4 linked regions of the Saccharomyces cerevisiae S288C genome follow. The protein of the gene in region 2 binds, or shares a complex with, the protein of the main gene of each other region. Each region holds a gene or a part of one and is shown on either strand. Other genes may lie near its edges. The genes, in order: MRPS18, MRP21, MRPS16 and RSM19.

Evidence for each region.
Region 1: MRP21 (region 2) and MRPS18 share a complex: the UniProt entries of both Saccharomyces cerevisiae proteins name them as parts of the mitochondrial small ribosomal subunit.
Region 3: MRP21 (region 2) and MRPS16 share a complex: the UniProt entries of both Saccharomyces cerevisiae proteins name them as parts of the mitochondrial small ribosomal subunit.
Region 4: MRP21 (region 2) and RSM19 share a complex: the UniProt entries of both Saccharomyces cerevisiae proteins name them as parts of the mitochondrial small ribosomal subunit.

What each region holds. Positions count from the first base shown.
Region 1 is NC_001146.8:56,592-59,308, reverse strand, and holds MRPS18 (mitochondrial 37S ribosomal protein uS11m MRPS18), read right to left. Parts: upstream 1,155-2,717; coding exon 501-1,154; downstream 1-500. Other genes in the region: BXI1 (Bxi1p), read left to right, coding at 1-411; serine/threonine/tyrosine protein kinase MCK1, read left to right, coding at 1,736-2,717. UniProt on the Saccharomyces cerevisiae protein: Component of the mitochondrial ribosome (mitoribosome), a dedicated translation machinery responsible for the synthesis of mitochondrial genome-encoded proteins, including at least some of the essential transmembrane subunits of the mitochondrial respiratory chain.
Region 2 is NC_001134.8:47,021-49,915, forward strand, and holds MRP21 (mitochondrial 37S ribosomal protein bS21m MRP21), read left to right. Parts: upstream 1-1,804; coding exon 1,805-2,338; downstream 2,339-2,895. Other genes in the region: phospholipid metabolism-regulating protein SCS22, read right to left, coding at 1-38, 127-160; MAP2 (methionine aminopeptidase), read right to left, coding at 343-1,608; AVT5 (amino acid transporter), read left to right, coding at 2,554-2,895. UniProt on the Saccharomyces cerevisiae protein: Component of the mitochondrial ribosome (mitoribosome), a dedicated translation machinery responsible for the synthesis of mitochondrial genome-encoded proteins, including at least some of the essential transmembrane subunits of the mitochondrial respiratory chain.
Region 3 is NC_001148.4:528,405-530,916, reverse strand, and holds MRPS16 (mitochondrial 37S ribosomal protein bS16m MRPS16), read left to right. Parts: upstream 1-1,566; coding exon 1,567-1,932; downstream 1,933-2,512. Other genes in the region: mRNA-binding protein RRP12, read right to left, coding at 1-1,194; CIP1 (Cip1p), read right to left, coding at 2,225-2,512. UniProt on the Saccharomyces cerevisiae protein: Component of the mitochondrial ribosome (mitoribosome), a dedicated translation machinery responsible for the synthesis of mitochondrial genome-encoded proteins, including at least some of the essential transmembrane subunits of the mitochondrial respiratory chain.
Region 4 is NC_001146.8:694,552-697,087, forward strand, and holds RSM19 (mitochondrial 37S ribosomal protein uS19m RSM19), read right to left. Parts: upstream 777-2,536; coding exon 501-776; downstream 1-500. Other genes in the region: mitochondrial 37S ribosomal protein uS12m MRPS12, read right to left, coding at 1-271; putative ATP-dependent RNA helicase DBP6, read left to right, coding at 1,044-2,536. UniProt on the Saccharomyces cerevisiae protein: Component of the mitochondrial ribosome (mitoribosome), a dedicated translation machinery responsible for the synthesis of mitochondrial genome-encoded proteins, including at least some of the essential transmembrane subunits of the mitochondrial respiratory chain.

The sequences.
Region 1 (2,717 bases), on a different chromosome or scaffold from region 2:
TCGCTGGTAACCTTAGCGTACGATAAGGATACAGTACTTTCGGCTCTGCTGATCACCACCATCGTCGTAGTCGGCGTTTCCTTGACCGCACTATCAGAGAGATTCGAGAACGTGCTGAATTCCGCAACGTCAATATACTATTGGTTAAACTGGGGTCTATGGATTATGATCGGAATGGGTCTCACGGCCTTGCTTTTCGGCTGGAATACCCACTCTTCCAAGTTTAATCTGCTTTACGGCTGGCTTGGTGCCATTTTATTTACCGCGTATCTTTTCATCGATACGCAACTGATTTTTAGGAAAGTGTATCCTGATGAAGAAGTTAGATGCGCCATGATGCTTTACCTGGACATCGTCAATTTGTTTTTGTCTATTTTAAGGATTTTGGCCAACTCTAACGACGACAATTAAAAAAAGGGAAAAATCGAATTATTTACACGAATATATATATATTTCTTCTTCTTTTACATAGTTTATAATTCATACATAGTGGGAGCTGATCATAGTCTTCTCATCTTTGGTGATCTTACACCACCAAACTTCAATTTGGTGGCATCGCTGATCTTCACAACCTTTTTCACCACACTGGCCCCTTCCTTACCAACAAGAGCGGAAATAAAAGCAGCTCTGCCCTTCCCAAAGTCGTCCATCACCACTTCGATATCTTTGTTCAGCATGTTCTTTTCCTTAATCAATTCAAACATTCTACCACTGGTTTGAAATGCAGCTTCATACTCCCCTCTTGCTGCCTTCCTAAACCCTAAACAACCTGTAGATAGCGAAATCTTCACTTTCTGGGGTAAGTTCAAATAGTACAGCATTGTATCATTATACGTAAGTCCCTTATTCTTATGAAAGTTCTTGTCCTCCACAACGCTTGAAAATGTCAAATGCGTGTTATTTTTAGTAAACTTGCCATGTAGAATGTACTTAACTACTTCCTCTTTGGGCTTGTAAACCTCACTACTACCATTTGACTTTGTCAAAACTGAGTCAGAGGACGAAGGATACGAGATATTCGTGATATCCTCCTGATTTGAAATATCCTTAAATGAAAAAGGAACTCCTCTATTCGTGCCGGTAGAATTCCATCTTCTGATAGGCCTGACAAACTGCGTCCATCGGCAGCCTTTCCAAACAGGTTGTAACAGCATCACACGTAACTATAACAGTTCACACTGTCACTTTTTCTTTTCAGAAGAACCACTGCTTTCCACCTGATTTACTCTCATTTTGTCTTCCCTCTTTCCCAATTCATCGTTATTATGCCAAACAGTCACGAAGTACGAAACAAACACTCTCCGCTGCTATAGAAAGTTCCAATCTTAGGCTGAATAATGGAATACTAGTAGCTCAGTGATTATCATCATAATTGAAGCTATCATTAAAAAGCATGCAGCCATATTATGCAGGAATTATATGATCACACGTAGCTGTAGTGGCTTTCGAAAGCAGCATTCTTGCTTCCACTCAGTTCGTATGTAATGACAGTTCAGTGACCCACAAACAACACTGAAAAAAGCGACCTTCATATGCGGAAGAGGGCAGGCGTAACCTCCAAGGGAAAACGACATAGATTTCGCAAGTGAGTGCCATTGTGTCGTGTTAGTAGTGTGGGCAGGCCCGTAACGTGTTTATTGATAGGAGTTAAGCCCAAGACTACAGAGTTCTTTGCTTCATCTTTCAATTTTCTTTTTATTTTCCGAAACCCCCACTCCATCACATTCTAGTACATATGTCTACGGAAGAGCAGAATGGTGTTCCTCTGCAAAGGGGATCTGAATTCATTGCAGACGATGTAACCTCGAATAAATCGAACAACACGAGGCGGATGCTGGTGAAAGAGTACAGGAAAATCGGTAGAGGTGCCTTTGGGACTGTTGTACAAGCATATTTAACCCAGGATAAGAAAAACTGGTTGGGCCCCTTTGCAATTAAAAAAGTCCCTGCTCATACCGAGTACAAGTCCAGGGAATTACAGATTCTGAGGATTGCCGACCATCCAAATATCGTTAAATTGCAGTATTTCTTTACTCATTTGTCCCCGCAAGATAATAAAGTTTATCAACACCTTGCCATGGAATGCTTACCAGAAACTCTACAAATCGAGATTAATCGTTATGTGACAAACAAGCTAGAAATGCCATTAAAACATATCAGGCTATACACTTATCAGATTGCCCGCGGGATGCTTTATTTACACGGTCTTGGCGTTTGTCATCGTGATATCAAACCATCCAATGTTCTTGTAGACCCGGAAACCGGTGTCTTGAAAATCTGCGATTTTGGGTCTGCCAAAAAATTGGAACATAACCAGCCTTCAATTAGTTACATCTGTTCAAGATTTTATAGAGCGCCTGAATTGATCATTGGTTGTACCCAATATACCACCCAGATCGATATATGGGGGCTTGGTTGTGTCATGGGCGAGATGCTTATCGGCAAAGCCATATTTCAAGGTCAAGAACCCCTTCTACAGCTAAGGGAAATTGCTAAATTGTTAGGTCCTCCCGATAAAAGATTCATTTTCTTTTCGAATCCGGCCTACGATGGCCCTCTATTTTCCAAACCACTGTTCTCGGGCTCTTCGCAACAGAGGTTTGAGAAGTATTTTGGCCATTCCGGTCCAGATGGTATCGATCTTTTGATGAAAATATTGGTCTACGAACCACAACAAAGACTGTCTCCAAGAAGAATCCTTGCCCATCAGTTCTTTA
Region 2 (2,895 bases):
GAGCTTTATATACTCTGTTGATTGTTTATTAAGGGGAGCTGAAGTATTACATATTAGTAACCTGTTGCATCGCACCAAAAAAGGTAGCAAAGTTTCCCGCACACTAGCAATTCTCGTCAAACATACCCTTGAACACCAGCTTTTCTGGCACTATTCTCATTGTTTACTCGTCTGAACTAGTGCTTATATTATCTGTCGTCATACCACTGTTTGAGACCCCCATAGGTCTTATATAAGGTAATGCATCATTCTAAACGGGCGGCAAGCCATATTAAACTATCTATATAACTACAACAGTATTCATATACCTAGTGAGGAGGCCATTTGAAAGCGCATTTTACCTCAGTAGTCATCACCTTTCGAAACGACTTCCTTTTTGTGAGCATGCAACAAGATGGTGTGTTCGAATTGTGCAGTGTAGGATCCGGGGATATCGTTCAATGGTGGATAATCCTGTACTAAACCGTGTCTAACCAAGTTATTCAACGCAAATAAGTATTTCTCTTGGCCAAGTCTGTCTAGGTATCGGCGACAGAACGGTAAAGTCCCAAAGTTGCGGTCTATCGTTTTTAACAAGTTCTTGGCGCTGTCTAACGTGGGCATTACCTGATGGTCTTCAGCAGATCTGGCATAATGAGAAACTTCCCCACCGGCAGTAACATAACCTCTACCAGTAGAACCAAAAGTTTCAATGGCAAAGTGCTCACCTTCCTCCATTTTTGTAGTGTCCCCATTTTTGACGATGGGAACGGATTTACCGCCGTGGATACGATATGGTGCGATACTGTGGCCACATAGATTACGACAAGGTTTAACCTGGTAAGTCTCACCATTGATTTCCACTTCGTAGGATTCCATAACTTCTTGGATGGCTTCACCGATGTCGGTTAATCTCACATCGATACCCGCTTCTTTAATACCCGTGTAAGTAGCGTCCTTTACAGCGGCTAGCAGGTTATCGTATTGTGGATCAAAGGAAACAGTAAAGGCAGAATCAATGATGTTACCGTTTACCTGCACACCATAATCTACCTTCATCACGTCTTCGTATTTCAGAACGGTTTTGTCGCCTGCATTGGGTGTGAAATGTGCAGCACAATGGTTGAGAGAGAGACCCGTTGGAAACCCAATACCTTGAGATTTGGGATCCTCCATCGCTAATAAATTTTCGGCACCTGTATACTTTCTTGTAGTATTTTCGATCATGTCAGCGATATCCATTAACTTCATCCCAGGAACGATTCTGTCCTTGATGGCCCTTCTCACACGACGATGTATCTCAGCACCCTTTCTGACATCATTCCAATGTTCGGCCCTTTCCAGATCCCTTTTCAAATAACGTGATTCTTCATCCGTGGTTCTTTGCAGATTGAAATCTTGATGATAGTCCATCCACGCACCTTCTGGGTACTTTCCATCTGGAAACAGTAATTCAATCTTCTTCACATTGCTTTTCTTCTTCTTCTTTTTCTTGTTCTTCTTCTTTTTGCTTTCTACTGGGTCTGACTCGTCAGCTTTTGCCTGGTCTTGCTGTTCAACGCCTTCATTCTCCAAATTCAATTCTTTTAAATCAGAAGCAGGGGAATTTTCTATTTCAGCGTCTGTCATTTTTCAATACGGTAGAGCTTCTACAGTACTTGTTGATGTAAAAGCCCACTTATTAGCTTCTTGCTATGGCTTCCTTTCTTTTTTAAGTTCGCTTCTTTCCCAAGATTGAAAATAAAAAATAAGTGAGACCAGGTCATTAAAGGTCCCTTGAAGAGTAAAAAATCTGTCAAATATCACCCATAAGAGCATAACCATAATGTTGAAGAGCACGCTGAGGCTTTCAAGAATCTCTCTCAGAAGAGGTTTCACAACGATCGACTGTTTACGCCAACAAAATTCGGATATCGATAAAATCATACTAAATCCAATCAAATTAGCTCAGGGAAGCAACAGCGATCGTGGCCAAACCTCTAAAAGCAAAACTGATAATGCAGATATTTTATCAATGGAAATTCCAGTAGATATGATGCAATCTGCTGGGAGAATAAACAAGAGGGAGCTTCTATCCGAGGCGGAAATTGCTAGAAGTAGCGTGGAGAATGCACAAATGAGATTCAATTCTGGAAAATCTATAATCGTGAATAAGAACAACCCTGCAGAATCATTTAAGAGATTAAACAGGATCATGTTTGAGAACAATATTCCCGGAGATAAAAGAAGTCAACGGTTTTACATGAAGCCGGGGAAAGTGGCTGAATTGAAGAGATCTCAAAGGCATAGGAAGGAATTCATGATGGGCTTCAAGAGGTTGATTGAAATTGTTAAAGATGCCAAGAGGAAAGGATACTAATCGTACCATCAACTCTTGAATATTGTGAAATTTTCGCCATTGATTTCCGTCTTTGTAAATAGGTAATGCGTAACTATTTAGTTAAATTTTTGTATATTTTTTATTCTATGACTTCACTTATCCATTATTTCCATCGTCAAAAAAAGGAAATAAATACTGTTGCTCGAACGAACAGCAAGATAAAGTGGAAACGAAAAGTAAGCAGCTTCCTCAATATGCCGTCAAACGTACGTTCGGGAGTCTTAACTTTGCTCCATACAGCATGTGGAGCAGGCGTACTTGCAATGCCGTTTGCATTCAAGCCATTTGGGTTAATGCCTGGTCTGATAACGCTAACATTTTGCGGAATATGTTCCTTATGTGGGCTGCTATTACAGACTCGAATAGCGAAGTACGTACCTAAATCTGAGAACGCCTCGTTTGCTAAACTCACCCAACTAATCAATCCGTCAATAAGTGTAGTGTTCGATTTTGCCATTGCTGTTAAATGTTTTGGCGTTGGTGTATCTTACTTAATTATTGTTGGTGACTTAGTGCCACAGATAGTGCAGTCAATT
Region 3 (2,512 bases), on a different chromosome or scaffold from region 2:
ACTTGGTGTATACAATAACAAATCATCTTTAACAGACTCAGAAAGGATTGAGATAAGACATTGAGAGGCAGCTTGGTACACTTCTGGAGTTTCACTAGCTAAATATGTGCACATAATGTGAAATACACCAGGAATTTTACGTAGCGCTTTCAGTGGTTGATGTGTTGCGTAAGTGGACATACCCTTAATGACCACAGCAATCCAGGACTTGGTTAATAATGTATCGACATTTGAGGGTTTTAATGCAAAAATGGTATCCAAGACTCTTAGGTACTTATTTTCAGCCAATCCAGAAGAAATGGTAGTTTCTGCCATTGTTTTGAACATGCTTTCAAAACATTCAAATGATGCAGAAACGAGATATTGCTCTGAGCTTTTGGTGACTCCCAATAGTACATCACAAAGAGGCTCAATCTGTGAAGATGGCCACTGTCCAGTAGAGACGACTGAAGTAATCAACCTTAGAGAGCGCATGACACTAGCGTTAATGTCTTCCTTTGTTTTCTGTGCTTTCAATTGTTTATTTGATAAATTCGAGAGATCATTTAAAATACCTGCTAACTGCTTGTCACAGAAATCTGCTACAAAAACTGCCGCTACATGCTCTGCAGTTGGTGCAACAGGAGGGTTTAATAAGACCGCATGAACTGCATCTAGCGCTCTCTTTCTAACTTTTGGTCTTACATCTAAAGAAAGTTCAAGTATACCCTGCAAACCTCTTTTTGGAGTGACGTTTAGATCATAAGTATTGTTCCAGGCTTGTGCATCTTGAGCAATAAGAAGAGATTCTAAACAACCAATAGCAGCTCTAATTAGAGGGGCATTAGCCTTTTCTGCAGTGATACATGGGGCAATTTTCGTTAGGATTTCAGAAAACTTCGATCTTAATAATACCTTAGGCGAATAATGAAATATCAGATCTAGAAGATATGTAGATGAGGAAGCCAATTGAATATCTTTTATTTCATGAGTAGATGGGTCTACTGCTTGATCCAATAGTGACATAAAGGAAATGATATAATTTACAATGTTTTTTGAAACATCATTTGTAGCTTGACCTGCAATATTTTCCTCAACGGCAGTTAATATTATAGCAATATGCTTTTGATTCTCCAATTTAGAGTTTACTTGGGAACGAATTTTAGCCAGCTTGTCCTCCAGCTCTAAAAGAAAAGCAACTTTGTCTTGATCCATGATGAACTCTGAGATTTGCTGATTCAATTCGCGAGATGCTGTTCAAAATCTAGAAATTACCTGGTTGAATTCAATCAGTAAAAAAATAAGTTGAACCTTTTCAAACTAAAACTCTTCTCTGAGAGAATTAACTGCGACCGAGGAAGTTCTAATTGCGCGATGAGATGAGATGATATAATTAAAATTTTAAACACTGCAGCGAAAAGAAAAATTTTCACTAATTATGATCATCTATCATTCAGGACGGAAAAAATGAAATAGTACACCAAGAACAGTTGTAAGAAAAAAGGAAGGGGAATATATACACGACTTAAGTAACGGAGGAGTTCTGACTGGTATTCCGTTAAGAAATTGTAATAGAGTTTATCAAGTATGACCTGTGGTCTAGTACGAATAAGGTTAGCTAGATTTGGAAGAAAAAATAGTCCGGTCTATAATATCGTAGTGGCTAATTCCCGTAAGGCGAGGGATGCTAAACCGATCGAGGTACTAGGAACCTACGTGCCGGTACCCAGCCCAGTGACCAAGAGAGAATTGAAGAGGGGCGTTGTACCTATTAAAGACGTGAAGCTTGATTTTGATAGAACAAAATATTGGATTGGTGTGGGAGCACAACCTAGCGAAACAGTTACTAAACTATTACGAAAGGCTGGTATATTAAATGATGCATGGGCCACTAGTAAGAACAGCAATGTGAATAGGAAAGTTGTATTTGAAAGAATGGAAACATTGGAGTGAAAAAGATCGGAAAAAAAAAAAAAAAGAAAAAGAAAGGAAAGCAAAGGAACGTGTTTTAATTGATGCGAGGTGTATATGTATATGTTGTATATATGTTTTACTTGGCGCTTTTATATCTATCAGACTTGTAAATAATACATCTATGGCCAACCAGAAAATGGAGAATGAGACTTGAAATGGAATAAATTAAATTCTTAATCGAATGTGAAGAAAAGAGAAAGTGTAATAGAATTTCATTAAGATAGTGTCATTATAGGTCATGTATTGTGTGCTCCTGACTGTTCGGCACTATTTACCTTTTAAGACGCAATAAATCTCTTTTTAGCTTCAATGATTCATTTGGTAAAATAGAGGATTCTTCAGTGGACACGTTTGCTGTAGGTAAACGAGTACTAGCTAAGGGGGACGATATGATATTGCTACGTTGTCTCGATAGCAGAGCTATGTTAAAATTAAATGCGGAATCTGTTGTAGGCGTTGGCGTGAGTAAAGAAAAGGCATTACTGTTGCTAACACTATTGTTAGAATTTGTGCGGGCTAAGATAGGTTGTGGTTGTAATTCTGAAATATACTGGGACGA
Region 4 (2,536 bases), on a different chromosome or scaffold from region 2:
CCACGTTCCCGTTAGTCAAACGGACCCTGCACGCCTTTCTCTGCGCAGAATTCGGCTTCTTGGGCTTTAAAACCATTACACGTAATACGACACCCTTCCGCTGGGGACACTGATCCAGTTGTGGAGCTGTACTTATCTTCTTGCGTCTTGGAGGCCCGGAGCCTCTTTTAATCTGATTCAATGTCGCTTGCATTGTCGTAGTGGAGGAAAACAATCTCTGCGCCTGTCTCAAGGGCGTACACCATGTGTTGGACATAAACCTCGACAACATGGCTCTTGTTGGCCTGCTTCAATTCTGGTGTACCTGTAAGTTCTCCGTCTTTTCCCTGGTTATATGCGTTTTTTCTCCCCAAATCGTTTTGTCGCTCGGGTAAGACTGAAATGCTTTTAAAAGCACTATTACTGTTTATTATGCTATATATATATATATATACAGCCCGAGTCTGGCTTGATCTTATTTACATGATATATCATCTAGAAATCTATATACACTAGATCCCTCATTTGTTCTTGGTTTGAGTATAGCTGAAACGCTTCCTGGTAGGTGCGAACTCGCCCAGTTTGTGGCCCACCATATCTTCTGATATTTCAATAGGTACGTACTCCTTACCATTGTGTATTTGAAATTTCAGTCCCACGAACTGAGGAAGGATGGTGGCGGCCCTTGCGTTTGTTCTTATTGGAGTGCCCTTAGTCATGGCCTCCCTTATGGGTAATGGCACGATGTTGGGGCCCTTCCATACGGACCGCGATAAAAGTCTAGCTGCCGGTTGCATTTTATTTTTGGTGGACACTACTTCTGCCGATGCTGTACTGCTCTTGCAATGAACCTCACCGTTTTAAGTCATGGTTAGATTCTTACTAGGCGCTTCCAATTGCCATTTCTTGCTCAGCCATAACCGTGAATAGTGATCCAAACGCTAATGCCGGGTGATGCTTAAAATTTGAAAAATTATTGCAGATTTGTATTATATAGAAAGCATAACTGGCGATGAGATGTGCTCGAAACTGGACACCTTTACCATTGGTGACCGGTAGTGACAATGTTTGCATCGAGATTTGACCCTAGCCAATTGACTGCTCCTGCAGCTAGCGCACCAGAAGGAATCGTCGGAACTACTCCCCCGGCCATTGTGCCTTTAAAGAGGCAGGCTACTGAATCTGATAATGAAGAATATGGCTCTCACCAAGATTCTGATGAGAGTTCCAACTCTAGTTCAGAGGAAGACGAAGACCGTATGCAAGTAGATTATGGGGCTAGTGAAGAGGATTCGAGTGAAGTGGAAGAGGAAGAGAGTAAGCCAAGTACTCACAGCACAGTGCTATCGAGATTCAAGCAAACAGTATCATTGCAAGAAAGGCTAGGTGCATCTGATATTGCTGAGAGTAAGGAAGACGAAGGTATTGAAGACGAGGCGGCCTCAACTCACCAACTAAAACAGATTCCTCAACCTGAATTCGTCAAAAACCCAATGAATTTGAATACAAATTCATTACAGTTCAAATCTACGGGTTGGTTAAATACTGAGAAGATATATTATGATAATTCCTTGATCAAACCGTTCTCGGATTACGCAAATGAATTAGAAGCAAAACTACTGCAGAATATTTGCAAGAATTTCTCTACAAACACTTTTCCCATCCAATCGATCATCCTAGACTCCATATTACCGGTATTGAACTTCACGTTGAACGTATCTAAGAGAAACTTCACCAGAAGAATCGGTGATATTCTTGTAAATGCTGCTACCGGTTCAGGTAAAACTTTGGCTTACTCCATTCCTATTGTTCAAACCCTCTTCAAGAGACAAATTAACAGACTGCGTTGTATAATCATCGTCCCCACAAAACTATTGATAAACCAAGTTTATACTACGTTGACAAAGCTAACTCAAGGGACGTCGCTTATTGTGAGCATTGCCAAATTAGAAAATTCTTTGAAGGACGAACACAAAAAATTATCAAATTTGGAACCAGATATCTTAATCACTACACCTGGTAGATTAGTAGATCATCTAAATATGAAATCGATAAATTTGAAAAACCTAAAGTTTTTGATTATCGATGAGGCTGATCGTCTTTTGAACCAGTCCTTCCAGGGCTGGTGTCCAAAACTAATGTCCCATTTGAAAACGGATAAATTAGATACACTTCCAGGGAACGTGATCAAAATGATCTTCAGTGCGACATTGACTACCAACACAGAAAAGTTAAACGGCTTGAACCTTTACAAACCAAAGTTGTTCCTGAAGCAAACCGATAAATTGTACCAGCTACCTAACAAATTGAATGAATTTAACATCAACATTCCCACGGCGAAAAGTGTTTACAAGCCATTGATATTGTTGTATTCAATATGCCAATTTATGGCACATTCCCCCATTGCTGCAAAGATTTTGATTTTCGTTAAATCAAATGAATCGTCTATCAGATTAAGCAAGTTACTACAACTTATCTGTGAATCTCGCTCACAATCCAGCGTATTGAAAAACCTTCAAAATTTGGCGGTGAGTATTAATTCTGTCAATTCAAACAA